Linked DNA regions of Notamacropus eugenii. The protein of the gene in region 1 purifies or fractionates together with the protein of each later gene. This does not show direct contact. Links are inferred from orthologs where the notes say so. Each region holds a gene or a part of one and is shown on either strand. Other genes may lie near its edges. The genes, in order: RBBP4, CBX1, ARID4B and MTF2.

Region 1 (6,849 bases):
TTGGAAATGTTCCAAGACCAACCCCTCATTTTACAGATGAGAAAACTATTAACTAAAGCTAAGTGTTTGCCCAGGGTCCCACAAGTGGTAAATGGTAAAGCCAAGAATCTATCTAGGGTCTTCTTCCTCCAAATTCATCATTCTTAGGATTACACTGTATTTCAGTTTGCTAAACCTTCACATGATTACTCAGCTCACCAAAAAAGAAAGTCAGTTTTTCTTCTAGATTAGCAAATTCTTCACAGTAGTGATTATTTATGTGAAATTACTCAAACTATTTTGTCTCTATCTTTTCAGGCACAGGAATAACAAAACACATACACAAATAGCTATCAACCAATTTAGATATAGCTAGGCAGAGTACTGGTCTCAGAATATGGTCTCAGACACTTATACTTAATTTCACTTAGCCCTAGTTTCCTCATCTGTGAAAGGAGGATAAGAGTTTACCACTGGGCTGCTGTCAAACTCAAATGAAAATGACAAATGTAAAGCACTACCACCTCCCTAAATTATTGGAGGGAAGAGACAGGGAGGACAATGGACACAGTCCCCATGCATTGAATGGTAGGGTCCTTAACTGTGGAAAAAATAAATTTGATTCCAATCCTAGAGTAGATCCTCAGATCTAGGATAGCTAGATGGTACAGTAGATGGACTACTGGACCTGGAGTCAGGAAGACACCATTCAAATCCGGCATGGGACATTTACTAGTTTTGTAACTCCAGGCAAGTCACTTAATTTCTGCCTCAGCTTCCTCATCTGTAAAACAAGGATAATAACAGCACCTACCTCCCAGGGTTGTTGTGGTGTTTTAATGAGATATTTGTAAAGTTCCTTGTAGACAATAAAGATCTATATAAGAGCTCACTATTATTATTTTGATGCCACTCCTAGTGCTTTTAACCATTAAGATATTCAGATCACCTGGTTACATCTGGAAGCCACTGTGCAGTCAGGCTGGGCCACTCTAGGGCATGGGTCATCACTAAGTCATAGAGAAAAGGAGTATTTTTTTTCCATATTTTATACTCCTCGTTGATCACTCGTTCTTCTACAGCATCATCAAAGGCTGCTAAAAAAATAAAATAAACGGAGTTAACCTCCAGATGTGAGTACTTTGAAAAATGAAACATGGCACACATTTCTTTCCTCAGGCAGCTTGTGAGGGACAGGAGTATCCAGCCCCTTGTACAAGGTGTTAATCCTCCAAATCTTCCCCCTTTCCCATTTGTGTGGGACTGTAAAGAACTTCAGGGCTCATTTCATAGGTTTAATGGCTGGAAAAAGCTTTTTGGAGATTGAATTCAGCCCCTTCCTTTTTCAAATGAGTAAACAGGGGCTAACAAGAAAAAAATGGGACCGAGCCAGTCGAAGGTGACAAATCTTACTGCGTGCTTAATACAAAGAACGCACTAAAGGTGCAAAGGTTAAAAAAAATACCCATCCTTCAGAAACATTCCCGGAGGGTGAGCGGATGTAACACAAATAGATAAGGAATGGGATTCTCCAGTCAGAAAGAGTGCTAAGAGCGAGGGCGAGCACGTCAAGGTCCACTTTACTGGAGTTCTTCCAAGCTTCCCCCGGGAGACAGGACGCGCGAGGAGCCCTGCGAAGTCCAGAACTCCGGGACGCCCAGCGGGGGGGAGCGCTCCAGGCAGGAGCCGGGGCCGAGCTCGGGGCCGAGCGGAGGGGTCGGCGAGGCTCCACCGGGGACAGCGTCCGCAAAGGCCGGGCTGGACCACGAGGGACTTCAGCGTCCGCGAGGGTTTCGTCCTCCATCCCGTGCCCACTGGGGAGCCCGCTGGGGGCACGGGCAAGCCCAAACTCGCCATCACACCCGGGCTTCAGGCGGATTGTTCAGGAGGCGGGCACGGATGCTGGAGAAAGCCCCCAAGTCTCATCCTCCAGCTCTCCAAGTGAAGCCACCTGTCCAAGGTCACTCAGCCGGCGTAGCAGCGCCGTCGGTCGGCAGGACTTGGGTTCCGATTCCGCCTTGGCTACTCGCTACCCCGCGAACTTGGGCAAGTCCCGCGCCCTCGTGCGGCCTCAGTTTCCCCAGATGTAAGAAGCGGGGGATGGAATCCCCAACTTGGCAGAGCTCGCCGCCGCGCACCCCTCCCCCCAGCCCCAGGGGGCCTCCTTCCTGGGGACGGACACGTAGACCAGGCGGAGAGGCCTGCGGGAGGATCGCAGTCCCGGGACACCGGGAAGAGCGGGAGGCCGCGGGTGGGGAGGGCTCCTCTCACATCCCTCCCTTCGCGGTCTGGGAGGGCCTATTCGGGCGGCCGGGAAGGCCCCCTCCTCCGCGCTCGGCCCCCTTCCCTCCCCCTGCTCTCCTCACCTTCCTTGTCGGCCATGGTGGGCGAAGAAGCTGACGGACTGAATGACGGGCGCAGGGGCCGGGGACTCCCGGGGTCGCAGCACCGCGAAGGGGGGGGGGGTGAGGGTGAAGGGGTGGGGGTGGGGAGGGCTCGACGGCGCTCGCTCAGAGCGCGCGGCCTCTATTGTTTCCTGCCGCCCCTGCGTGTGGCCCGAGTCGCGCACCTTCGCGCCAACGGCGGCCAATCGGAACAGGCTCAGGCGAAAGGAGGGGGGCGAAAGGGGAGGAGGGCGCCACGGCGGTGGCCAATTGGAAGGCGCGTCGCCACCGCGAGCCGGCCTCGGCCTCGAGGTCTACCCCTCCCCCCAAGGTTTGGCACCGCCTCCTCCTCTCCCCGCGCGGTCGGGTTGCCGAGATTAGCGAGCGCGCGCAGCCCAGCCGCCCGGGAAAACGGTTGGTGGTCACGTGAGCGGGGCGGGAGGGGGAGGGGAAAGCTGGAAAACGGGGGAAGGCTCGAAGCTCCCCTGGGAGGCGGCCATTTTCCAAAGTCAGGCTCCATTAAGGCTCACCCGAGGTTCTGGCTTTGACCTCCTTCGACGGGAGAGTCCCAGGACCCCCCTCCATTGAGGCGAGAGGGAACTTGGGACCCTTTACGGAGGGTAGCCCAGCTTCTTTCCTCGGGGGCGAACGCACCGTCACCTAGACCTACAGTAGTGTAAGGGCTGGGGGGGAGGGGGGAGCCAATTTAGCCCCCGACTGTCTCCCTGTCAGCTCCTCCCACTACGTGATAAGGCCTAGGGTCAGCGACCGTAGCGGAGGATGGCTAAAACTGAGGCCTGGCCCTTTAAGGGCACGCGTCGCGGGGCGGGGACTCCGGGCGGAAGCTGCGCCGGCGAAGGGCGGAAGCGGAGCCTTGGCGGAGTAAGTCATGGCTCAGGAAGGGGAAGACGTGAGGGACTACAACCTGAATGAAGCGCAAAAGGCGATCAAGGCCAAGTACCCCCCGGCCACCCGGAAATACGAATGTGAGTGCTCTTCCTCTCAGATTTGGGGCGGCCTTCTACCTAGGGTGGAGAAGGGGCGCTCTCGAGGCGTGAGACGGCCGCAGTGGCAGTCCTTGCCCCGCGCCACTAATGGACCTTGGGCTCCCTCGTCTTACCGCGCCCCATTTTGCAGAGGTGTAGCCTGAGATGGAGAGCCCAGAGTCCCACCGAGAAGATGCCCAGGGCACACACTCCACAGGGCCCCTGGCCGGTTTCCTGCTCGCGTCCCTCCCGGGTCTGAGCCGCAGCGTCCTTTTCTGTAAAAGACTAGATCACAGGATCGCAGATTTAGAGTCGGAGGGCATTTAGTCCAGTCTCATTTCACAGAATCCTCCCACCCATTGAGAAGGCAAGCTGTGTGATGCCCATTATGTGGATGAAGGCATGCAAAATATGGGTCTATATTGGCCATGTGTTACGGAGTATGTTAAATATAAATGTGTGCGCTATATGCGTTTAAAGTTCTTAGGGTTTTGGGGTAAGAGTCACGGGATTATAGATTTACAATTAGAAGGGATCTCAAAGGTCATTGGTCTAGGCTTTCATTTTACAGATGAGAACATGGTTCCAGAGAGGTTAAGTGACTTGCCTAAGGTCAAACTGGTATTAGAAACTCAGCAGAGTTTGGAATTTGAACTCAGGTCTTATAACTCCAAGTGGGATGTTCTTTCCATTGGTTCACACTACTATAGTAAAGTAGGAGAAGCTGCTGAGTAAATTTAAAGGCAGGCAATAAGTATTTAGGGTCCTTTGTAGTGGATAAAAAAATGAGTTCATAAATATTTTAGTGGCCACTCTATACAAAGGATTATACTAGGTATTTTTCCCTTAAAGAATTTATGGTCTAGTTGGGAATCCAGAACTAGTATGCATGGAAGAATTAGAGAGCATTATAATAATATGTTAATTGAGCATTAAAATTGTAGGTTGCTACAGGAGTTCAGCAAAGAGGGAGATAAGGGAAGATGAGTTAGGGAAGTTGGCTTGGAATTGGTGGAATATACACTAGGCTGGATAGCTTTTGAGTAGGCAAGAGGAGAAGAGAGACAGCATATGATTGAGAGTAAGGAGATGAGGAGGGCATATCTGTGCAATAAGTGTGGAAACAAATGGTTGATCCCTTTTGGGGGAGTGATAGGAAATAGGTAGGGAAGAGTCTTGAAAGCCAGGTAAAGGAGTTTGGATGGAAAGTGTGAAATACAGTTCATGTACTATTCAACCTAGTGCAAGTCACATTCTGTGAGTTTCCTTTCTCCCAATATTTTTAAATGGGTGAAATCTGGTTAAAGTAAACCTCTAGGGCAGTCTTGCTGAGGAGAGGGCATAAAAGTCCAGTTGTGGTTGTTATGTAGCTGTGTCCAACTCTTCGTGACCCCATTTGGGGTTTTCTTGGCAAACATAATGGAGTGGTTTGCCATTTCCTTCTTCAGCTTATTTTATAGATGAGGAACTGAGACAAACAGGGTTAAATGACTTGCCCAGGGTCACACAGCTAGTAAGTGTTTGAGGCCTTATTTGAACTCATGAAAATGAATCTTCCAGATCCTAAGCCCAGTGCTCTATCCACTGCACTACTAAATAGTCCAATAACTATATACAACCTAATGTGTATGGAAGAAGAATGAGGGGAGTGTTGTCCAGTGTCTTGTCTTTTCCAGCATGATTGTATATAGATGAACATCTCTGTTATTTCTTTAACTTTAGCTGGGTCTCTGTCAGCCAATCAGTAAACATTTATATGTGCTAGGCACTCTCCTAAGCACTGAGGTTACAAAGAAAGGCCAAAGACAGTTTCCACACTCTAGGTACTTACAATCTAATGAATAATCCAGTCCTGAAGCCTAGTGGAAAATAATGAGATGACTTAATGGAGGATCTGGTAGGAGATCTCCAAAGTCCACCCTCCACCATCTCAATTAGAGGAAGGTAGGGGCCCCAGGGAAAAGGGGTATAGAAGAGGTGTGAGTTTCAGAGTTGATTTGGTATCTTCTTTCAGAAGGATGAGCTTCTGGAGATCATGAAATCAGGAGTGTGTGTGGGGGGGAATAACGAGATGGCTACCCTCCTTAAATGAAGGATCTAGGAGGTGCTCTGGCCCTATTTTGTCTCCTCGTCTTCTCATTAGAGCGCTCCTTATTCTTAAGTGGAATGATTATCCACCTTGGTCCTCATTTATTTTAGGATGCCTTAAAAATCCTAGTTTCTGTTTGAGGTGCTGTTTTTGGTTCAAAGTAAGTTGTAGTGTAAAGAACTATTAATTACTCATAAATATTACTCATTCATTATTTCATTTCATCAATAATATTTATTGACTCCTTAAAAAATTTGTATTTTATCCTATGGACAATAAGGAACCATTGAATAGTTTTCTTAAAATATCATTTTTCAAAAGCAGTCTAGCAGTGAATTAATGGTAGGATAATTTAGAAGGAGGGTAATATCAGAGGCAGGAAGATTAAGTTACTATAATAATCTGGATAGTGATTATAAATCACATTTACATATGCCAGATATTATATATTATGTAATGTAGATATAGTATAATGTATATTACTTTATAACACTTTGAGGTTTCTAAAAGATAAAGTAAGAGGAACTAGCTGATGACAGTGAGAATGGAAAGGAGGAATAGATGTGAAGGGTGTTACGGACTTGAACCTCAGAACAGCCCAGTGAAATGGAGAAGGTATTATTCTCATTTTTAAAGATAAAGAAACTGAACCACAAAAGAGTTAAATAGCAACCAAATTTATACAGGTAGTTAAGTGGCAGAACTGAGACTAGAAATGAAGTCTTTTAATTACTAGTCTTGTGTTCTTTCAGTCACACTATGCTGTCTTCCCTAGTATTATGAAAATAGTAGCAAAAATTATTCTTATCCCTTCCTCTAATTATAACCATTAAGCTGTGTTACAGATATATGAAAATATTTATTTCATTGCTACTTGAGTGTTTTGTCTGTGAGCAGAACTCTTTAGATACAATAGAAATTGTATAGTATACCATACAGTGTGTGTATGTGTATGCATGCTATAAGTACCATATAAAATGTGGTTTTGAGTGCTTTTATGAAGCTTATAAAACATAAGATCTGGTTTCTACTCATGAGAAATTTTTATTCTCTAGTATTCTAGCTGCCTGAAAAAGCAAAATTTAGAGAAAGTTTTTCGTTTGTTTTCCATGGTTATATTGTAATTCCTTGAATGATATTGTACTCAGAAGACAGTAGTATTTAATAATTTAATTTTTAGTAAAAACTTAATTTTCCTCATTGGGGGAAAGTCAACTCGGGTACACTTTCCTGTGTTTTTGTTGTTTAATGATGAACGGAAACCACTTGGTTAGATATATTTTTCTTTTTAAGAAATAGCAATTTCTTAGATATTCTCCAGATCACTTTGAAATCAGAGATCCTGTTATTTCCTTTAGGAATTGTCAAGTTAGTTTAGTTACAAGTTTGACTTGTTAAATCTAATGATATC
Region 2 (7,334 bases), on another chromosome or scaffold:
GTTGACATGTAAGTATGACAGGTTGGTGTGGAGAGGGAGACATGAGTCAGATAATGAATTTTCTGAGAAAAGAGGGAGAATGATTGGAATGACTGTAGATAATAACCATTAGACAAGGTGATCTGTCCAGATGCAGTGAAGCTCTAAGGATGAAATGTGGCTGAGTAACATGGAGGAGGAAGTAGGGGTGGGGGAGGTATAGAACTGTCGATGAGGAGCATGAAGCACGTTGACTCCAACTGACACTTAGGGAAGTATTGCTCCAGAGACAGTTCTAAAGGTGAGTTATAAACTCCCCCTGGATTCTGAGTGGAAAGGGAGGAAGGGTCTACAGAAATCTGTCTAAAAGTTCACTGCTTCCGGTAGGGAAGTGCCATCAGCACAGTGCATAAATGACAAAGATAAAATTGCCTGCTTTTCTGTCTTAGTTCAGTATGTGGGTGATGAGACAGGAGATGAGGGAAGGTGACCAGGGATGTAGTGCCTTCTGGGGAGAGTCACGGTTTGCATAACTTTGAGGAAATGAAAGAAGCATGAAAGGAAGAGGTATAAAACAAAGGAACAGCTTTACAATAGAAAGGCAGTTCCAGAAGGTATGATGAAAGTGAAAAGGGAAAGAGAGTAGAATCAGGGTTGACAGAAACTGAGGATGAAGTAAAGGGGAGTGGTGACCATAGAATACACAGAATTCTTTCCAGAAAGCACTTGGCACGTGGGCACTAAATAAATACTTGTTGATTTGGAACTCTGCCCCCAGATTTATGAAACCATGCATATCCTTTCTGCCAGCAATACTACTATTACACCTAGATCTCAGAAAAGATCATAGAAAGAGCAAAAGAATGTTATATGTAAAAATATTATCAGCAGCTTTTTTGTGTGTTAACAAAGAACTGGAAATTTATGGGTACCCATCATTAAATTCAACAATAAATTAAATGGGGAGTAGATAAACAAATTATGGTATAGGAATGTAATGGTCCATAACTCTAACATTCCTCTTTTCTTCTTCTTTCATCCTTACCAATCCTATTCTCTGTCCCCACTGACACTTCTTATGCTAGAAGAAATGATGAAGAAGGTAGCTTCGGAGAAATTGGAGAAGACTTATATGAATAGATGGAGTCAGGTGAGCAGAACCAGAAGAGCGTATACAATGACCACACAGTTAAGACAAACAACTTTGAAATACTTAAGAACTCTGAGCAATATAAGGACCAATCATACTTCCTGAGGCACAATGATGAATCATGTCACCCACCATCTGACAGAGAGGGGATACACTCAGATGCAGAATAAGATAAATATTTTGGGACATGGTTAATTGCCCGGGGTCTACTCCTGGGCCTTCGCCTCTCCACTTACCGATCCCCGGTCTTCGGACGTCTCCGGCCCCTCTCCCGGTTGGGGGAGGGCAATAAACAGGCAGAGCACCCGAAAGGAGTTGCAGTCAGCAAGCTTTATTGCATTTCTTCCCCTTCTCCTTCTCCTTCTAAGCCCTTGTGATCATCCCCTTTTATTATCCCTGTCTCCTCCCCCGTACCTCCCATGGGCGGGCGAGCTCCTCCCAAGTGCCTCCCCGCGGGTGGAGTCAGCCTGTTACCAGGGCCATCCCAGTACCCCACAAGGGGGCAGGTTTGGACCCTCAGGCGTCTCACGGTCCTCACAGGGGACCCTGGTCCAGAGCTGTCCCCCAACAGTTAATGTAAGAATTTGTTTCGCGTATTTGTTACAAGGATTTTGTCTTTTTTTTTTCCATTAGGGTGGAGATGAAAGTGAGAAAAAAATGAATTCTTGTCAATTGTAATTTTAAAAAATTTTGTAATGATTATGGATTGATTTATCACAAACCTTCCCTCCAGTCATCCTGCCAAAAAACCCCACCACTCCTTCTCTTGATCCTGCTGCCCCTCTTCCTGTCATATAAGCAGGGAGCTTACCATGTAAGCTAGGCAGCCTGGACTCTCAATTATGGAGATTCTGAGTAAAGTTATAGGATATGTCTACTACTACTGGAAAGGGTGTTTCAGTGGTGTGGCTGATTTGATTATGATTCCTAGAGCAAAAAGTACAGCAAGAGCACATGATAAGACACATATGCTGCTGTGACCCTGGTGTTCTGGTCCAGGGCTGGAGGCAGGATAGTTGGATAAGATGAGGCTTGGCTGGTTATAGAGGGTGGAGATGAAGGATGATTTACTTACGCTCCATTCAACCCTTAGGTGCACATCTGTTCTAAAGGTGAGTTGATAAACTCCCCCTGGATGTGGGACAAAGGAAGGGTCTGACTGAAAGGTCACTGCTTCTGCCATATCAGCACAGATCATAAAAGAAAAGGATAGAATTGCCCATTTTCCTGACTTGGTTCAATATTTTTGCCAAGAAACCATGTTGTCTCTCACATGAATGAGTGAAGGAACGGGAGATGTTTATAAGGGGGAAAGAGATGACTTGGGGGTGGAGAAGAAGGAAGTCTATGATTTGGTGTTTCTGTTCAAGCATAGGCTTGGATGACAAGCTGTCAGGTATCTTATGGAAGAGATTTCTAAAGGGGGGGGGAAATTGGATTCGATGATTTACAAGTTTTCTTCCAACTCTAAAAGCCTATTATCTGACTAACAGAAGATGACAACAGGATAATAGATCCTAGGGGCAAAGCAGGATCAAAAGGAAGGGGTTCTTTTAAGGTTTTTTTAGCGGGGAGAGGAGGTTGAGGGGAAGAGTAAGTTGAATATCTATGCATACTTGTTGATAGTAGGAAATGAGCAAAATGAAAAGATTGAAGATTTGAGAAGAATTGATTAATTAACAAGCACTTACTAAGCACCTGTATGTGCCTTGCACTATACTAAATACTGAGGATGCAAAGACAAAAATGAAATCCTTGCTCTCACAAAGCTTATGGGGAGACATTTATATTTGTGTATGTAATATACATATATACAAAATAATTACAAGGTAGTTTGGGAAGGGAGTATATTAGCTGATGCAGAAATCAGGGAAGGCTTCATATAGAAGGTGGAACTTGAGTTAAATCTTAAAGAAAACCAGGGATTCTGAAAGAAGCCAGTGAATTCCTTGCCACCGGAACAGTCAGAGCAAAGTCAGGAGAAGGAACTTTATGGGTAAGTCAGAAAACAAGTCTGGATAAATCTCAGACTGAAAGCAACGTATAAGAAGGAGTAATTGAGAGATCAATATCTTAGACAAGGTGGGGATGGGGGAAGAGATAGGGATCAAGAGTACAGGTTAGCCTTGGAAGGGGGAAGAAAATGAAGAAAGGCTAGTGGAAAACATATACTTGTGAGGGACAGAAGAAAAAAAAAAAAGATGAGCTGTGATGCTCCATGGGCTTTAAGTTCCATGATTTATCAGTCAAAAATGTTATCCAGTAACATTTAATGCACCTTTCTCAACCTGCCTAGACTGCAGAGCTGTAAATCCTAATTGACTTCAGGCGCGGAACCCTATTCCCGCTACAAATTCCAGCCTATTTTAATTCAAACCTACTACACATTACCACCTGGCACTCCTTTTGAATTCTACACCCACCAAACTGGACTTCTTTGTTCTTCATCAGGGACATTTTATCTTCGCCGGGTTCTCCCCCCCTTTTCCCAGGAATGAATTCCCTTTTCAACTCTGAGACTCAAAGAATTTCTAGTTTTATTCAAAGGAAACTGAAACTCAGTTGCAGCTCAACCCTCACCTCCTATTTGAGGCTATTCCCGATCCCATCCAGCGCTAGTACCTTGAGCCCTAAATATGGTTACTTAATTACCTTTTTCGTTACTTTGTATACATTTTTGACAACGAGGAAGCGGTGTTGGTAAGTGGGGAGCGAGTTGGTCTCAGTCAGTTTAAATTCTACTTCAGAACCCCGAGGTAAGTTGCTTAATCTCCCAACATTCCAGGCAAACCGTTTAGATTTATATCTTAATAAATATGCCTCTTACTTTACAATAGTATAATATGTCTTAATTTGTAATAAGTACTGTAATTATTTATTACAGTAATCTTAATATAGAAATTACAGAGAACTGCCAAGACGTTTGAATTCACAAGACTGGTTCAAAGGCATATGTGAATGTGTTTCTACGTCTAGATCGTCGCGAGCAAAGGGACAGTTGCACTTGTCTCTCGGTATCCCTAGCAACCTGCCCGGTCTCTAGACGCTTAATAAATGCTTGTTGCTAGATGAGTTGATTACACGTGCCACAATCCAATCAGACAGTACTAGTCCCTGGAGCCGCTACCCAGAGCTTGGAGCTTCGTTGGGTGACGTCACCACGTTCCTTCCCTCGCAGTACCCTGGGGCTTGTAGTCTGGGAGGGACTTCAAGTTCCACACTGCCCCGCGTTGGGTCGCGGCGCCTGCGCGTTGCGCGCGGCGGGCAGAGCTGAGTACGGGGCTCTTTTGTTCCGCGGAGCTGGGACGATTGGCTGGGCCCGGGGGAGCTTCGCTTAGCCTATCTTAGGTGAGGAGGGGCACCAGGCTCTAGCCGCGGCCGCCGCTCTTTCTGGCTTAGACAGCTCATCCTCCTTCTCGCTGTCCCCAGCCTCCTGCGACGCGCTAGCGGCGCGACACCGATTCCCCCCGGGTTGAGTCGACGCTGCTCTGAGGTAAGGAGGGAGGGGTGTGTGTGTTTGTGTGTCTGAGAGTGTGTATATGAGAGGATGTGTCTGGTGACACTGGGAAACCGAGGAGGGGGGCCCGGGGGGTGGGGAGGGCTCTCGGCCGATGGGAGTAGGGCCGTTAGGAACCCGGCGCGCGGGAGGCAACCCCCACCCCCTCCCCCACTACTCCCCCAGTCCTCGGTCCCTTCCCGCGCGCAGACCCCGGGAGGGGGCGGGGCTCGTGGAGCGCGCGCGGCGCAGGAATCCCGAGTCGGAAACGGCCGGTGTGGTGGGTTGGACCCCGCGCGTGCTGGGGGCGCTTCGCTGGTCCTAGTTTCTGGGGTCCTTGGTTAAGGGGCCCCCTGGCGAGAAGGAATGTGGCCCCGGGGCTGTGGGGGAGGAGGGGCGGAGCTTTAGCTACTTTAGCCGGTATTGTTATTACCCGCTACTCTGTAAAGGAAAGGGGGTGGGGCATAGGTGGCATTGAACGCCCTTCTTCTGCCCCGGTGGGGAGGAACTTGATTTTTTGTAGCTGATGCATGTTGATGCTTTTAAGAAAAAGACTTGAGGTTTGAATAACGTCCAGGAATTGAGGTCCCATCTCCAACTGTAGATTATCTCCAGCTGATGCAGTCTGTAGTGTGTACATGGTTTGCAGGTTGTCCACTACACGTGAACTCCAGGAGAGCTTTTCTTGTGCCTGGTAAGGGGAAGGCGCTTCATAATTGCTTGTTGACTCGACAGATAAGTGGTTGTGTATTCGTGTTGTCCCCCACTGTGAGCTCCTTGATGGTAGAGATTTACCCTTCCTCTTTCTTTTGTGTCCCCGGAGCGTATAGCGCAGTGCCTGGCTTCACTTAATAAATTCTTATGGACGAAGCGTTAAGGCAAAAAGTTTGAGAACCCGAAGTTCTCTTGCTTGATGTACTTCATGCTAGCAACTAGCAACGAAATTTTGAAATAAAATTCCACCCATGTTACATTAGAAGAATCATTTCCAAGGCAAATGCAATAGGAAAGTGAAATGAACTTTTCATTACGACGTTGCCCCTTTCCCCCATTCCAAGATATTTTCCACAGAAGATTGTAGCGGAGATCTTGTGCTCAAGTTTTTCGTCAGACTTCAGGGTGAGGAAGACTTGGAGTTGTTGAATCCCACCTTTAGATGTTAGCTGATTGATCCTGGGCAAGTCCCACAACCTTTTTTCAGTCTCAGTTTCCTGGTCTATACAGTTGTATTCGATGGCCTCTAAAGTCTCTTCCAGCCCTAAATCTGTGATCTTTGGGAAGTCCCTTCTGCTTTCCCTGGATCCCTGGATGGTGGCCTTGCTTTCCATCGATCTTTGGTGGGAAAGCCTAAGTATTGGTTTACCTGATAGTCCAAAACATGAATGGAGCCATACCCTGGGGCTTTGAGGCCTTGAATTGTATTCCTCTGTTCAGCCTTTTGTCTGACAAATTTGGGCCCTGAATGGCTGCTGGTGACGTTAAGGTTTTGTAACTACCTTCTTTGGAAAGAATTGCCCTGGTAGATAAAGTGTGTAGAAGAGGATGCCTTTTCTTTATGCCCTTTTTGTAAATTTAGGTGGTTCTTGGGAGCCAAACCTGGGAAATCTTTGAGAACCACTTTACACCTCTTTTAACCCTACCCTGAAGACTAAATTCTAGTTCTGTTAGGTTTGTATGCACATATTAGCAGGAGGCATCCTGTCTGTGCCTTTGCTGGGGCTGTTTCCTATGCCTGGAATGCAGTTTCTCCTCACCTGAGCCTCTTCGAATTCCTAGCTTCCTTCCAAGCTCAGCTCAGCATCACCTATTACAAGAGGCCTTTCCTACTTTTTTTGCCTTTGCTAACCTGTAGTATGTTCTGCCCTCCTATATCTTAAGTATATTTTGCATTTATTTATATGTGTATATGTTGTTTCTCCTGTGGGATGTAAGCTTCGTGACTGCAGGGGGCCTAACAAATGCATGTTGATGGATGAAGCTACCTAAGGGCAATGATTTCTGCCCTTTATTTTCACTGTTGCCTCCAAATGAAGAGTCATCTCTGCAGTTAGGTGAGTGTCTGAAAAGTCTGAAAGTGAGTAGAAGCATGTGATAGATACTGTGATCCTCCCTAGAAGCCTTCCAGACATTTATATGGAAGTTAAAGGAAGCCTCTGGTTTTGTTTTTTTCCTATAATGACATTTTTGTTCCCAATAGCTTATATATTCCGAATTGTTTTTCTTTAAAAGTGAGTAGAGGATATGGAGGATAGTGCTATAGCCTATGCCAGGTTCTTGATAAGAAAAGATGTGCCTACTCTTTTCTTCCTCTGTCTTTGTACCTGTGGTTAGATACCTGAATTTTTCTAACCCCTTCTGGACAAACGATATTGAAATATACCAGAAAGGAATTTTCTAAATGAGAGAACTTAAGTACACCTTTAAAAGAGGATTGCTATATAATGTCATTTTCAGAACAGTAGGTGCAGTTTCGTTCACTAGTTAAAAGCATTTGTTAACACTTACTACATTCTAGGCATTGTGCCAGGTGTTGGGGGTACAAAGAAAAACAAAAAAGTCCCTGACCTATCCTACCATACAGTCTTTGGAGATGAGGGCTCTAGTAGCTAGGGAATCAGGAAAGGCCATATATAGAACAGGACTCTTCAGGCTGAGCTTTGAAGGAAGGTAGGACTTCTGAGAGGAAGAGGTGAGATAGAAATAGATTGT
Region 3 (7,832 bases), on another chromosome or scaffold:
TCATAGAAATTGGGGCCACAGATACATAAAAATACAACAATTTTGACACTGGCCTTAATTACAAGCAAAATAATAATATCTAAAGAACTTAACTTACCACATAAAATTAGGTTGCACACAAAAAGCTAAGGTCTATACGTGAAAAAAGTACAATGTCATTGACCAACATTGTTCTTCTTAACCGAAGGGCTGAATTATGATGCCAAAAATAGTAGCATGTAAAATTAGTTCATTTTAAACTATCAAGCATTTTAACATTGGTACCATTTAAGCAAAAACTAACAATTTTAAATGCAATTACAAATATCCAAGTGTAATTTGATTTTGTTCTGACACATAAAACTGTTTAAAAGCCTAAATTTATTTCTTTAAAGAATGAGTTAAACAGAAAATCTTTAAGTTATAACTGTTAAAAACTTTCATAATTATCTGTTAAATATTGCTCCATTTTTAAACTTAATGTATTTTTCAGCCCAATATTTTCCCAAGAAATTTATGAAAATTGTGGCAGAACTGTGGTTTTCTTAATGAATTCACTTCTGGTAGTCTCACACACATTCCCCATTGTCATTATTATAATCATGCTTGTTTGTTTTCAGGTCTCACAGACACATTTAGTTTTATATACTCTTTAACTGAACTATACATATAGAAAATGAGAGGAAGAATGAAAAACCTTTTCATATACATGCATAAAGTACAAACCCAAGAAACTAGCAAAAACTGGATAGGCTATGCAGTACTCAGAATTTCAAAAGGTTACAGCATTTTACTTCCTTCCATAAACTTATGCAATACAAGCTTTAATTCTGATACAGTATTTTTTAAATTGCCTTGATTTTAAATAGAACCAAAATATAGAGACTGTTCAATGAACTGTCTAAAGTAGCTAGCATTTAAATTTTAACCTACTACAGTTTGCAGCATTATTACTATAACCAATTACGAACACACCCACCTTTTTCAAGCATAGCAAATTTTTACAGAAAAGAAAAATGTCTGCTTGGCTTGGTACCACTAGTTGAATCTAAATGATTCAAAATTCTAATTCTCTTTTCTTTCTAGTGTGTATTAAGTGAAAATGTCAATATTCAATACCTAGCTGAGCTGAAAATGTAAACTAACAGAGACATTTATGCCTACAATATGTTCAACCAAATAAGCAAACCCAAAAGGTTAAAAAAAAAATCCTGCATTTTATGCACTGTCCTTTATGATTTCTATCCTCACCACTTGGAAAACTGATTATCAGCTTTCCAGGTTTCTGGCTTGAGCACAGGGAAAAGTTTTCCTAAAAGCATGAATCGACTGAAAACGTTTAACCCAAAAGGGATCAGTGCAGAGGAACGGATCCCATACAGTCATACACAAAGCACTGTGTCCCTGGAAATAAATACAAGTCACACGGCAGTTTTCAAACCAGAATTCAAAGAACAGTTCTTCAGCAGAGTAAAAATTACCTGTTTAAAAACCCACACGTAAAATAGAATTTCGCTTTGTCTCTACTGACTGAGAACCCTCACCATGTCCAGTTTCCAGATGAGGGAGGTAACTTGACGGGCTTTCAGACTTGTCAGGGAGACCGTTCTTATCTCTCTCCCCGGCAAGAAGGCTCCTCTTAAGCTCCTCTCCCCACCGAAGAGCCCCAGCTCCGCGGCCAGGCCCGGCGTACATGCACCAGCTCGGACCCCATCCCCTCCCCGAGCTCTGCAGGACTCTGCGCGCCCCCGAAGGACCTCGACACGGCCGGCTCCCCCTCACCGCCCCACCCCCTGCCCGGAGGCTTCTCGCATGAAACCCTTTCTTACCTTCATGGTGGTGATTCGGCAGCCGCCGTCTTCTCGCAGACACAGAATTCACCTGCACCTGAGGTGAAACAAAAGACACCGAATCACCACCCCAGGAACCCCGTTCTCCGCGGGGTGGGGGACGAGGAAATGGCTCAGAACCCCCCGCCGCAAGTCTCCCTCGCTCCGCCGCCTCCCGGAAGGAAGGTCCCTCCGAGCCCGGCTCTCGCCCTCGGCGGGGCCGACTCTCCCTCCGGCATCCCCCCGCCGCCCCCGGGCCGGGCCGCTTCCCCATTGTCGGACCCGGTGGAGTTTCCCCGTCTCCGGCAATGACGCCATTTCTGTCAGAGGAGAAAGTCACAACAAACCCCGGAGTCCGGCCCCGGATCCTTCCCCGCCCCGAGCTCGGGCTGGCCGGCCTGCAGCCCAGCGGGGCCGTCAGGCCGGCGCCCCCACAACTGGCTGCCCAGCCCGGGGACCCCGCGGGGCTGGCAGCACCAGCGCCCACGGCGGGGTCCCTGCCCAGGGCTTCCGAGGCCCGTCGCCCCTTCCTTCTTCCCACTTGGCCGAGGCACGACGAGCCTCGGAGTCCGCGGCGGCGAAGGCCAGGCGGGCGGGCAGGGCCCAGCGCTCGGGCGCTCGCCGCGGGGGTGGCGACCACTCTCCTCCTGGCTGGGGAGGGAGGGCGGAGTGGGGGGGAGATACGGGGACCCACGACCGCCCCGGAACCGTGTCCCCTCTGGCCGCCGCATTGCCCCGCCAAGAAAATGCCCCTACCTGGCTGGGTGCTGAGGCTGAAGCCCGTCACGTCCCGAGTCCCCTTCCCCTGCTCCACCCCGAAGCCGGCGACGGGGAGCGGGCCCGGGGGGCGAGATGGGGGAAGGGGAGACCACGGGTCCGGCGGTGGCCGCGGCTCCTCCTCCTCCTCCCGCGGCGGTGGCTGGTACCTTTGTTTGGCGGCCGCTCTGGCTCCCTCGCTGGGGGGGAGGGAGCAAAGAACGAAGAAAATCCCTCCCGGACTCTGGGTCCGGGCCCCAAATCGGGCCCCCCTCCAAAGAAAGACAGCGATGGACCCTTTGCGGCTCCGTCCGGGCACTGGTCCAGACAGTGGCCGTGACGGCGGCAGCGGCTCAGGGTCTCCACTCCGATCCGGTGTCTGAGCAGCTCACTCCGGACTCGACTGACGGGCAAACATCACTCCCCCTCCCTCCCCCGATCCCCCTTCCCCTCCCCTTGTTCCCTCCCCTCGTTTTCCCTCCCGCCCCTAGCTGCCCTCCTTCCTTAGTCTGCCCGTTAGGAGCTCTGGGATTGGCTGGTCATCTTTAGAACCCGCCCCCACCCTTTCGTTATTGGTCCCCGGGATACAAACACCGACGCCATTTTCCACCAGTTCTATGGAAACAGAAAGTTACGCTGCATAGCTTGCTGGGAGTTGTAGTCCATCCCCAGGGGCCAAAGCTTCAGCCTCCCACCGCCAAAGACTGCAAAACCCCTAATGCTCCGCTTCGGCGTGCGGGAAATAGGAGTGGAGTGGAGGGCGGAGGAGGCCCAGAGCTAGTTATCGCTAGGGAGGCGGTCGCGACGCCTGCGCAGTGGGACGGGGATGGCGCATTTTCTCGCACCGAGTAATGCGGCGTCGCTGGCGGCTGAAAAGGGCGGAGAGTGCCGAAGTGAAGCAGTGGGAGGGATTCGTGTTGGTGGCGGGAGGAGCCTCAAAGTGAACTATAAAGGAGGAAGTTGAGGCACGGTAGTGCTGCTTCGGGATCGGCGGTGTGAAACAGCATTATTACCGTTCTACCGGGAGTGGAGGTGGAGGCGGCGGGGGAACCCGAATGGTGAGAGACCAGAGGGGGCGGGGAGAGAAAAGAAAGAAGGACAAGGACCCGGATGCTGAAGCGGGTTGCTGTGTGTATGTGTGTGTGTTTTTTTTCTTGGAGGGCAGGGGGGGAGGGAGGGAGGATGGAGGCGGGAGTGCGAGCTCCGTATGAAGAGGGAGTCGGACGCGGTGATCTCGGCGGAGGAGGGGCTGGCTTAGATACAATTAATAGTCCTTGGCTTGTGGCTAACGTCTGGTTGCCTGCGCCTTGTCAATTTCCTGGGGACTTCCTGGTGCGTTTTTTTAAGAGCCAGATTTGGAGTCAGAGGACCCGGGTGTGAATTCAGGCGGTGGTGCTGTGGGCACAAGGGGGACACCAATTCTCTCTAGACCTCCAATTTCTTCTTTTAAGTTGAGGGCCTCAGAACTAGGGTTCTCCATCGGATTTTGTGCCCTGGACCCCTCTGGCAGTCTGGCGAAGCCTGTGGACCCTTTCACAGCATTATTTCTTAATTCACAAAATCCATAGGGTTACAAAGTAAACTAATCATTGAAATGCACTTACTAAAATAAATTTTTACAAGTTCACAAACTTCCTCGCCCTTCTCCCACCCCCTCTAAGAATTAACCCTCAGAGTAGGAAGTTCCTTCCTGCTTTAAATCTAAGATTTCCTCAGACTCATAATCCTAAGGTTTTGGTGTTGAGTTCTAGCTCTTCCGAATCCAGAGAAAGCATCCGGCTTCACACATGCACTCACTTGGCAAAAATTTTTATTTTGACCTTCTTTATATTTTGCAAAAAAAAAAAAAATCAGGAATCATTTGATGCTTGATAGATCATTCGCATTGATCCTGATAATGTTTAATATAAAATTTTTGAATAATCTCTTTGTTCTCTCTGAAGCAAACTCAGAGAATGCCTCTTCCTATGTCAGCAAAAGCCAGCCAAGGCTGAGTCTACATTCCTTAGGAGACCTTTAACCTAAGACACTATATCTTATTATCTATAGACATATACTATGTTTGTTATGGCATATTAGTGGTAAAGAAAATATAAACATCTTAGATCGTAATTTCTATTGAACTTTGTTTACCCTTTCCTATGTCAGTTATCTGTTTAGGGCAGGAAGCCTGTCACTCACTGGTGGTGGGATTTCCTTCCTTGTCACCGAGACTATATGTTTACACAGCCTGGAATCTCAAGGCCCAACTGACATTGCTTTGTTAATTGTCCTGTCTTACTGAATTTATGATTTGCTTAATTAGGAGAGTTTCTTTCTCACGGCAAAATGTACTTAAGACAGATGATTTCTGTACTAAGTAGTCAGAGTCACAAATGACTCCATAGCGCTATGACTGTTATCTTTAAGAGGGAATCAATTAATTAAAAAATAACGCATGCCTTTAGTCTGATGTCTTTCCTTTAACCAAGTTTTCAGGTTAACGATCCTCATTGTCTTTTTTGATTGCAAGCCCCAGGCTGTTTTTCCAATCGGAAGAACGAGGAATAACGTAGTTATATGCCTGTTCCAGGGAGACATTTGTAGTTTTTCGTTCTCCTGTAACATTGGGTGTCATGTACCACAAATGAACTTAATTGAACTAAGGAGCTTGATACCTAAATTTAAAAGGTTGAGGATGTATATCTGCTGCAAAAAATTAAGATTTTATAGATGAATCAGGTTAGGACATATTCCACAGTAGATAACATATTCTGTCTTCTAAAGCAAAACAATAAGGAGATAGGGAAGGACCCCTCGTACTCATTACCTGTCTGCCCATGAGCAAATCACTTAACCACTCTAAATCTCAGTTCCTTCATTTATAAAATAGGAATAATTATGCCTTTAGTATATACCTCTCTCACAGGGCTGTCAAGGATCAAATGAGAAAATCTGCGTGTTGTGTTGTGGAGGGAGGGAGAGAACAGATTGTGTAATCTACCTTCAATAAATGACACCTACATTCCAAAGGAAAAAAAAGAAAATGTATGTAAAACACTTTCTAAATTTTAAAATGTGTGTGTGTGTGTTAGTCAAGGACAAAACAGCTTTTCTTATTCCCCCACTATTATTCCTGTATCTTCCTTCCTAGAAAAGACACAGTGATAAACATTCTGCTAGACAGAGAAAGTGGAATCATAGAATGTTAAGACTAAAAGATATCCTGGAAACCATCTCTTTCAACCTCCTCATTTCTACAGATAAGGAAAAAGGGGTCCACAGAGGTGAAATGCCTTGTTCAAAGTCATGGCTAATTAATAGTATCAATTAGTTTTTATTGAAAGCCTACCATGGGCCCAGTATCGTGCTCGATATTGTGAAACATACAATTGGTCCTTGCTGTCTGGCATCTTATGTTCTAATTTACAGGACAAAACTATCCCAAGAGACAATTGTAGAACTGCTTCATGCCCAGTCTTTATGAAGGTAGTTTTATTTTCCATGATTTTAAAAAATTTATTTAAATGATGTGATCATGGTAGACCTTCAATTTGAAATGTAATGTACCATCTCAGGACAGATCACAGATTATTACATTAGTGTCACATTAGTGTCATTATTATTTCCAAAGATACTTTGCAAAAGTTCAATTACATCTCTGTGTAATAAATATATAAAACTGGTTTAAGATAGAGATAGAGCTTTTAAAAATCTTATATATCACATTTTTCTTGTATCCCTTTTTCCAGACATATTCATAATAGTATTCTGCCAGATGTGGGGCAATTTAGGGAATTTACTCTGTAATCTTGTCATGGCAGGTGAAAAATTATCTGCTTTGTGTAGGTAAACAACTGTGTTATACAAGATGCTGTGAGTCTATGCAATATAGAGTTTTGAAACAAATTATATTAGGATTAATCATGTGGAAAGTAGTATATTGTAGCTTAGAAGCTATTGCATTTTTGCCCAACTGATCATTTGGGCCTGCTGCTGCAAGAGGTAATTAGCGTATGATCATAGTAGCTTGGTCCATTTCTTTTATTTCCTTATATAAGGGTGAGCATTTCATTTTGAAATTCATTACCATTTGTCATCGTAAAGCCTACTAGAGTCATGTATTTGTCATCTATGCCCATAAAATCAAAGCATTAACATATATTATAGGAATCTGCATATTTATATAAATGGTCAAATGTCAAATATTAGTAGTAAGGACCTGAAAAAGTTTTGTTTTGTCTTTTTCTTAAACTGCAAATAATTATGAAATGTAAGACTGCTTTCTTTTGTGTGTAACACCTCAAGCAGGCTAGATTCTCAAAGCTTATTACATTGTTGGCTTAATACCATGGTATTAAGGGGTGGAAATCCTGAGGTATAAGAACTCTTTCTTTGTATGCAAGAGCCTATAGAGAATGAGATCAGAGTCTGAGATGATTATCCTATCTGTTCAGTGAAGGTCACTAGAACCACAAGGGAGACTGAGGAAGAACAGTACTGTGAGTAAGAGGGTTGAGAAAAGGGAACTTTTTTTTTTTTTAAACAAAAAAACTAAGAAAAGTTATCAAAGATTCAAATACCTGGTACTATTAGACTCCATTTAGCAGCAACTTCTCTACAGTTCTGCTGAGAATCAGAAAACAAAGCTTTAAGCATCCAAAATAAATTTCACAAAAGACCATGCCCCAGTCTTTATACATTACACTTATAGTCTGTTTACTCCTAATTTAGGTGACCTTAACAATCTTGGTGTTTTAACCTACATTAGATAGGAAGAAGCAAATTTCATCAAGTTCTAAATCAGTTACTGAATAGAAAATTCATGAAATAGATGATCTAAGAAACTAACAAACAAAAGTACACCCAGAAAAATCTTTCTAGCAGTGTGATGCCATGACAAGGGCGCCAACTCTGGAGTCAATGGACCTGGATTCAAATGTTATCTCTAATGTTTCCTCTGTGATTCTGGGCAAGTCACTTAACCTCCGGAGCCTTAGTTTCTTCATATGTAAAGTGAAAGAGTTGGACTAGATGGCCTCTAGGGTCCCTTCCAATTTCCATTCTATGATTCTGGATCCTTTTCTGATAAAATTATAAGACTGATAAATCAGGAAGATATAGGCACATCATGTGTAGATTGCATGAGGCATTTGACAAAATTTGAACAGCTTAATTAGCCTTGCACAAGTTGCTCTGGTTTCAGAAACAACTGGGCCACATTTTAACCAGTGTACTTAGAACAAATAAGAGTAAAGTAAAAAAATATTACTGGAGTTCTCCTCAAAC
Region 4 (7,980 bases), on another chromosome or scaffold:
GTCACTTATTTTTGCTGATTGCCTCTGCATTTAGAATATGAGGTCATTGAGGGCAGGAACCAGGTTTTTACCTTTCTTTGTATCACCAGCATTTTGCATAGTGGCTAGCAAAACCCGCCTAGTGCACAAGCGTTCCTATTCCACGATGCCTCCTCTTGTTTAAAGGCACAGAGAGAGAGGATGGAATGCTGGAGTCAGACAATAACAGTAGGCGGGAGTAGTTTAACTGGAATATGGAGTGTATATAAAGGTGAATGATACACAATAAGTCTAGAAAAATAGGCTAGAGTCAAATGATGGCAGGTTTCAGATTTCAAGCTCAGGTGTTTGTCTTCTGCACATGCATTTTTAAAATCTAAGGCATTTCGTGAATTTCTTATGCATCTTTACCAACTTCTGACAACGTCCTTTTCCCTCCTTGTTGACAGTTTCTTCCTTTATTCTCACTCTCTTCTTAACCTTCTACATTCTGGCTTTGAACTTTGTCAACTACTCTTTTCAAAGTTAACAATGATCTTTTAACTGCCAAATCTAATGGCCTTTTTTCAATCCTCATCATTTTTTACCTATCTCCAATCTTTGATACCATCAATCACCTTCTCCTTTATACCCTCGTCTCTAGTGATGTGTGTGTGTGTGTGTGTGTGTGTGATACTATTCTCTCCTGGTTCTCCCACTTGTTATTTTTTGTTTGCTGTATCTTCATTTAGATCATGTCCTCTAACTACTGGGGTTCCCAAAGGCTCTGTCCTGAACCTTCTTCTCTTCTCATTTCATTTGGTAACCTTATTGGCTCACATGGTTTCATTTATCAATCATCTTTATGCAGATGACTGATCTACTTGTCCAAGACCTAATCTTTCATGATTTCTGGTTTTATAATAATTTATTGGACATTTTGAAGTGGACATCCCACAGACATATCACATTCATCATAACCAAAACTAAGCTCATTATCTTCCCACTCCCCCTCCCCCTTCCCCTTTTCTGTTCCTAAATTTCTCACTACTTTCAAAGGTACCACCATCTGCCTAGTCACCATAGTTGCAACCTATCATCCTTAACTCTTCATTCTTTCCTTCTTTCTCATCTCTCCATATCCCATCTATTGCCAATTTCTAATGATTCTACATTTGTAATATATATCATATATGTTTCCTTCCTTCCCCTGACACTACTACCAGTCCAGTCCAGGTCCTTATCACTTCACACCTGGACTATTGCTGTTATAGCCTGCTGGTTGGTCTCCTTGGTCTCTGCACTGTTACAATCTATTCTCCACCCAGCTTTCAAATTGATCTTCCTAAAGCAAAAGTCTGACAAGTGGCTCCCTATTACCTCCAGGATTAATAATAAAATCCTGTGGGCTTGAAAGCCTTTCATAACTTGACTCCTTCCTAGCATTCCAGTCTTCTTATGCCTTACCCTGCCCTTCATGTACTTTATGATTCACTGACATTGGCCTCCTTGTTCTTTGTAGAGGATGCTTCATCTTTGGACTCCAGACTACTAGCTGTACTAGTACTAGACAGTACTAGCTGTCTCTCATGTTTGGAATGCTCTCCCTCCTCATCGCAGTCTCCTTAAAATCCCATCTAAAATCCTAACCTCCACAGGAAATCTTTCCCAATTTCTGTTTTAATGCTAGTAACTTTCCTCTGTAATTATCTCCAGGTTGTCTTGTATATATCTTGTTTGTACATAGTTGTTTATATGTTGTCTCCTCTGTTTGACCTGGAGTTTCTTGAGGACAGAGATTGTTTCTTGCCTTTCTTGGTATCCTAGTGCTTGTTCCAGGTACCTATCACATAGTAAACGCCTAATAAATGTTTGTTGACTGACTGAGTTGACTTCCCTGGACTTGGAGTCATGAAGACCTATCCTATCTCCAACACGTTGGTCATGGCCCATTCTGATCCCCAATTTCCTCATTTGGAAAATGAAGTTGACATCTATAGTGCCTACCAAACAGGGCTGTTGTGAAGTGTAAATGAGATAACGTCTAGGAAGGAATGCTTTGCAAATCTTAAAGCATTATTTCAGTTACTGCTATGACTACAGCACTCCCTTGCCCTGAAATGCTTCAGTGGCTCCCATTACTGACAAGATAAAATACCAACTACGCCTAAAATTATAGGCTCTCTACAATGTACATTCTTAGACTTATTTCAAACTAGTCCCCTTCATATGCTCCAGTCAAACTAAAATAGTAACTGTTGCCTGATTTAATTTTCTCTTGCCTTTTACTAAATATATCATCCCTAAAACCTGGAATAAATCCCTTCCCCATTTACCCTGTTTTTTTTTCAAGATCCAGATGAAATGCCTCTTGAATGCTCCTTCCCTGATTCCTTCCTCCCTCCTACAGTAATCTCTTCTTTTTCAAATTTTTGACTTTACTGCTTGAGCTCTTCTATTCACTTAATCTAAGTTGTATTCTAGTTATTTGTGTATTCTAGTTTTGTGTAAATATCTTACTCCATTGCCACTTAATCATATGCTCATTGAAAGCAGGCACTAAACACTTAATAAAATTTTGTTGAATTGGAATCACTTTCCATTACTCATTCTTTGGGGCTTCTGTTGGCAATTGGTCTAGATAGACCATGAGTCTGACCCAGAATCTGTAACTCTTCTCTTACCAAATGAAATTCGTCATCTTTCCCTTTAAACTAAATCTCTTCTAAAATTCCTTATTTCTGCCAAAACACAACTATTCTTTCTTCTAATCATTCAGGGTCACCACAAGTCTGATCATATCACATCCCTATTTAGAAATCGTCCATGGCTCCCTATTGCCTCTAAGGATTAAATCAAAACTCCTGAGCTTCGCATTATAATCTGGTTCCAATCCATCGTTTCAGACTCATCGTACATCAGTCCCTTTCCAGCCAAATTGGCCTTGCTCTTCCCTGAATTTAGCAATACAAACACAGAATTGTGTTTTTGTGAAAGTTATTTCCTACACTTGGCATTCATTCACTCATCTCCACCTCTTAGGATCTCTCAAGACTTGCTCTATGTGCCACCTCCGATGGAAAACTTACCCTTATCTCCTCTCTCTCTCTCTCTCTCTCTCTCTCTCTCTCTCTCTCTCTCTCTCTCTCTCTCTCTCTCTCTCTCTCTCTCTCTCTCCCTCTTCCCTTTCCTTCCCTTCTATTCAAAATGACTATCTATACACATACATAGCAGTTTACATGTTGTATCCCCACTGTGGAATGTAAACTCCTTCGTTGACAGGACAATTTCCCCTTTGCTTTGTCTCCCTGTCACCTGGTAGTGCTTTGAACAGGTTTTGTTTTTCATTTTTTGCCAGATCAGCAATTTCAATGATTTTTTTGCCAGAGCAGTCATTTCAATGATTTAGGGAATTCAAATGAAGAAACTCCCTCTACCACCGAAAATCAGCAACTAACAGTTCTCAAAACTTTGTGTCTAAGAGTTGCCTAGAGTCAAGCATTGAAAGGTTGTGACTGTCCAAGGTCCACACAGCTAGTCTATGTCAGTGGAGGAACCTCAACCGAGGTCTTCCTGTTCTCTAAGTCTCTCTCTCTCTCTATATGTATATATATGTATATATATAATATATATTTAAAAGGTTTCTTAACTTTTGTTGCATTGGATTAGATTCCCCGAAGGAGTCGCTTTTTGTTATTCTAAGATGAATCATGGTATGTAGTGTTGAGGTTTTAAACCTGGGGTCTGTGAACTTAAAAAACAGTTTTGATAATTATTTCAATATAATTATTTTCGTTTGCAATTCCGTGTCTTATTTTATATATTTAAAAAATTTTTTCTGAAAGGGGGTTCATAGGCTTCACAGATTGTAAATGGGATCCATCACACACGCACAGACAAGGTTAAGAACCTCTGAAACAATGGAAATACTCAATTTAAAAGTCAGGTTTTAGTTTTGCCGCTAAGAAGCTACATGACCTAAGGCAAATCACTTCAACTTTGGGAGTCAGTTTTTTTCATCTGTTAAATGGGGACACTACCTCAAAAGGTCTTAATGGATTGCAAAAAGAGAAACTGTGGATTAGAGAGTTAAGCATATCATTTCATCCCCGAACCGGTTTCTTTCTTTTCAAGGGGGTCACTTGAACTAATTTCCTCGAAGGGTCAGTGTAGTCTACCTTGGGTTTAAAGGACACAAAACCGGGGGGAGAGGGGGGGGAGGGGTTAAAGTCGCGGTTCACGCATAATCTCCGAACGTGCTCCTTTCTCTTGGGAGGTGGGGTCACCGCACTTCTTCTTTTGAAGAATTAACAAGAGGAAATGTTCACGAATTCGGTTTGTAACTGGCCATTGTTATGTAAAAAGGGAGGTGGGCGCGAGGGCACTTTGAAGTAGGAAGAGAGGGCGGCATCCAAGAATTCATTACCTCATTTAGGCTGAATGCCCACTAAGCGCCCACCTCAGGGAACAAAGAGACCCCCAAAACGAAGTAGCTACCCTCAAGGAGCTTACCTAATTGTAAGAAGGAATTTAAAAAAAAAGCAACCTCTAAGTTCGCCCGGTGAAGGGATTCTTCAGCCCCGCGGACCTGCTCTGTAAAATGCGTGGGGCGGAGCTGCGATGGCCAGTCTGCGGCCTCAGAGTGTAAAGCGTAAAAAATCTGACACTTTTCCAAGAAGACACCGGGCTTTAGAGATCAAAGGCTGACTGACCACGAGCAGGCCCGGGGTTAAGAGCAAAGGCGCCGACGAGGGGGCCCGTCTTTTGTAAAACAGCGAGCGTTTGCCTCGAGTCACGCGGCCGGGGCTGCAGGAAGCGGAGGCCGCGGACGCCGTTCCGAAACGGCAGCAACAAGAAAGGACGCTCGGTCGGCGAGACCGGAGCCCGGCGCCATCCTGCAGCGACAGCTCCCGGAGCGCCGGCCAACGCGCAGCGCGAGCTCCCCCGGCTGCGCTATTGTGCTAGTGCCGGCGGCGGAAGGATCCCATGCCCGTCGACCGAGGAATTAAAAGAGTCCCTCTTTGTTCACTCAAGGCCGGAGCCGAAGGGCACCGCGTCCTTCCGCGTCCGCCTCTCAGACTCCGCCCCCCCGCGGCTCTGGAGAGCTGCCATTCGGCGCAAGCAGTCTTTCGCGCTCCCACAATGCACCGCCACTCCGCGGGAAACCAAAATGGCGAAGGGCCGTAGCGAAGCGGGGTTGTGTTGGAGGCGGGTGTGAGCACCCCCCTCCACCCCCGTCCCCCTCAGCCTTCCTCTCAAACCTCCATCGTCAGCACCTCGGCGTGTGTGTGCAGCCCGGTGTGGCGCGGGCCTGGCGAGGGCGCAGAGTCTGAGGGGGAGGAAACGCCCAGGGGGACGTAATTTTGTTTTATATTTTATTTTTTCATTTTTTATTTTTATTTTTATTTTTTTTCCTGTATGAAGCGGTTGGCACCACTGAAGTGACCGAATGAGGTGAGAAACCTTGGACTGGGACCCGGCGCTTCCGGGGCACGGAGGACCAGGAGAGGGGGGAGGGGAGGGCTGGATAAAGGGGGAAAGATGGACGCGGGGTGGGGGGAGCTGGTGCTTAGGGTTGGAGGAGTGTGAAAAGGGTGGGTGGGAAGGAGCTGGGTGCGAGGGGGGATCGGGAGGAAACCATGGCGAGGCGGGGGGTCGGCTTAGGGTCGAGCGACTGAAGGCAGGAAGGAACCTGGGGGCGTGAGACGGTTGGAGGGGCAGGATGAGCCCTGGTGACGAGGAGGCGGGGGGAGGCTGGGGGGAGGCTGGGGGGAAGCGTAATTTGCCACCCCAGATGGGGGTGCTGTGGGGCAACAGGAACCGGACAGGAAGGCACCCAGGGGAGTGCAGAAAGTGAGGAGAGACAAGAGGAACGAGAAAGAATCGGGGTGTTGGAGGTGGGGGAGGGCAGGCAGTAAAGACTAAGGGGGATGGGAAAAAGCAGCTAGGTCTCAGAGGAACCGGGCCGGGGCTGGGGACACACGACTAAGTGGAAAAAGGATGGAACTTGTGGAGTTTCCGTGATTTGATTTCCTTAAAACTCGGTTCTCCATACATTCTTGGTAGGGAGAAATTGTGCATAACTGCCCAGATGGGGTTCGGGGGTTCGGGTTGTTTTTTTTGTTTACAACTGAGGATGTCAGGGATTTAAAGAATTTGAGTCATAAACCCCCAAATCCTTAAATAAATCATTGGCAGAACCAGGCAAGGAAACAGGTCTCTTGGTGTCCAGTCTAGTGTTCTTGATCAAGAAATTTGGCTTTTGCTGTGGAAGTGGGCATTCTGGAATATTGTGGGTAATTAGAAGAATGAGGGGGAAACAATGGGAAGGACGCATACGTGTGGGGATGAGAAATTTTGCTTTGGTTACTGCATTTAGAGATCATCTGACTAAATAGAGGTATTCTTCTGCATTGAACAGTAGAGCACAAAATGTGAGGTCAGTACATAGCTAGAAACATGTAAATATTGTCTAATATTACTCTACTCCACATCTTTTAGTGGTAGCAGAAGCTTTTTCCCTTTAGATTAAATCCATGTGACCCTCTTGTTTAGCTTGTTTACAGACAGGTTTTAATTTTCATGTTTTTATCACTAGCTCCGAATACTGTGCTTAGCGGACTGCAAAAAAAAGTACATTTAAAATATCTATTTTGGTTTCAATAAAATGCACCCTATGTATTGTGTACTTTTTTTTAAAGGTTCTTTAAAGGGAACCATTTTGAATGACAGCTTTAAGAACCTTGTAGTTGTGGACAGAAAACAGTTTTACATTTCAGAATGTAAAATATTCTCTTCTTTGTTTGAGACTTGGAACATTGTTTGCTTTGTACTTGCAATGACAGCTTGAAAAACAGTGCAAGATAAAAATTTCAGAACCTTTAAGTAAAAATGTTTGAAGTTAAATTTAATGATTCCTTTGCCTTCAGAAGATTTTTTCCAAAATACTAAAAACTACCTAAAATACTTCATTTCGTTATTCTCCTGCTTCTTGACTTGTGTACATAAAGGCTTTTAATATTAAAGGAAATTAGTAATATAAACTTGTTCTAATCCCCCTTCTTATGCATACTTGACTGTATGACTCTGGACAGGTCACTTAACCTCTCAATGACCCTAGAAACTTTATTAAGATACTAACTTGCAAAACGGTGGCAGATGTTTTCGGTAGAGGAAGCCTATTGGAAGGAAGTACCTGTAAAGTCACAGATCTAGATACTTCTCCTTCCCACCCAACATATCTTCAACCATATCTGTATAGATCCAGGTCTAAAATTGTAGAGCTGTTGGGGACCTTAGATGCACCATCTAGTTCAGCTCCCTTATTTTACAGATTTGGGTAACTGAATAACCTTAACAGCTTTCATAAGTTATATCAGAAACCACATAGTCTCTACCCCTCCTCCAAAGATTGCTGTACATATTTTTATTCCCTCATGGTGTCTTGTAGATAATGTACCCCACCAAATATTTGTGGACTGAGAGGACTGCCTTTATTAGTATTAGGACAGGGTTTCACAGATAACAATTTCATTTGGTTTGACCATACAACTTTTATTTGAGATAGAGAGGGAACAGATAGTGATAACCCAATTTAACAGAGAAATTGAAATTTTGAGAAATTGGTTTTGTCACAGTCTCTAGCTAGCTAATGGTGATGCTGGGAATAGGACCTTCTGAAAACTATAACTATCTTTGTTTCACTAATCTAGAATACCGCCTCCCAAAGTAATATGTTTATTGATTTCCTTTTACTTGTTTTTATGATAGATAATTTATTGAAATAGAATACAATATAAAAATTACTGGAATGTACTATTGAAGAAAGATACTGCTCTGTGGATTTGATACATATAGAAAAGTTAAATTCATTTAATGTTTTTTAATTAGACATTTTCTATCCTTCCTATACTTTGTGCATTCTGTCATATTTATGAAGATTAACAGTAAACTATCAGGGTAGCCATTTCTGGACCAGTAGAAAACTACTTACAAGATCTGCTTCAAGTTTGATTTTTCATT

The links.
Region 2: the proteins of RBBP4 (region 1) and CBX1 purify together in Homo sapiens (affinity purification with mass spectrometry; 3 studies listed by BioGRID and IntAct, with this or other methods). This does not show direct contact. The link is inferred for Notamacropus eugenii from reciprocal best matches to the Homo sapiens genes RBBP4 and CBX1.
Region 3: the proteins of RBBP4 (region 1) and ARID4B purify together in Homo sapiens (affinity purification with mass spectrometry; 5 studies listed by BioGRID and IntAct, with this or other methods). This does not show direct contact. The link is inferred for Notamacropus eugenii from reciprocal best matches to the Homo sapiens genes RBBP4 and ARID4B.
Region 4: the proteins of RBBP4 (region 1) and MTF2 purify together in Homo sapiens (affinity purification with mass spectrometry; 4 studies listed by BioGRID and IntAct, with this or other methods). This does not show direct contact. The link is inferred for Notamacropus eugenii from reciprocal best matches to the Homo sapiens genes RBBP4 and MTF2.

Annotation. Positions count from the first base shown.
Region 1 is NC_092876.1:77,230,975-77,237,823, forward strand, and holds the start of RBBP4 (histone-binding protein RBBP4), read right to left. Parts: upstream 3,007-6,849; 5' UTR 2,949-3,006; coding exon 2,894-2,948; intron 2,694-2,893; exon of another isoform or gene 2,362-2,693; coding exon of another isoform or gene 2,346-2,361; intron 2,066-2,345; coding exon of another isoform or gene 1,879-2,065; exon of another isoform or gene 1,679-1,878; intron 1,077-1,678; coding exon 929-1,076; intron 1-928. Other genes in the region: ZBTB8OS (protein archease), read left to right, coding at 1,879-2,065. UniProt on the Homo sapiens protein: Core histone-binding subunit that may target chromatin assembly factors, chromatin remodeling factors and histone deacetylases to their histone substrates in a manner that is regulated by nucleosomal DNA.
Region 2 is NC_092873.1:353,053,701-353,061,034, forward strand, and holds the start of CBX1 (chromobox protein homolog 1), read left to right. Parts: upstream 1-4,334; 5' UTR 4,335-4,477; intron 4,478-4,558; 5' UTR 4,559-4,622; intron 4,623-4,995; exon of another isoform or gene 4,996-5,319; intron 5,320-6,557; exon of another isoform or gene 6,558-6,676; intron 6,677-7,334. UniProt on the Homo sapiens protein: Component of heterochromatin. Recognizes and binds histone H3 tails methylated at 'Lys-9', leading to epigenetic repression. Interaction with lamin B receptor (LBR) can contribute to the association of the heterochromatin with the inner nuclear membrane.
Region 3 is NC_092873.1:394,938,902-394,946,733, forward strand, and holds the start of ARID4B (AT-rich interactive domain-containing protein 4B), read right to left. Parts: upstream 3,001-7,832; 5' UTR 2,565-3,000; intron 1,867-2,564; 5' UTR 1,815-1,866; coding exon 1,809-1,814; intron 1-1,808. UniProt on the Homo sapiens protein: Acts as a transcriptional repressor. May function in the assembly and/or enzymatic activity of the Sin3A corepressor complex or in mediating interactions between the complex and other regulatory complexes.
Region 4 is NC_092873.1:267,995,941-268,003,920, forward strand, and holds the start of MTF2 (metal-response element-binding transcription factor 2), read left to right. Parts: upstream 1-4,966; 5' UTR 4,967-5,407; coding exon 5,408-5,412; intron 5,413-7,980. UniProt on the Homo sapiens protein: Polycomb group (PcG) protein that specifically binds histone H3 trimethylated at 'Lys-36' (H3K36me3) and recruits the PRC2 complex, thus enhancing PRC2 H3K27me3 methylation activity.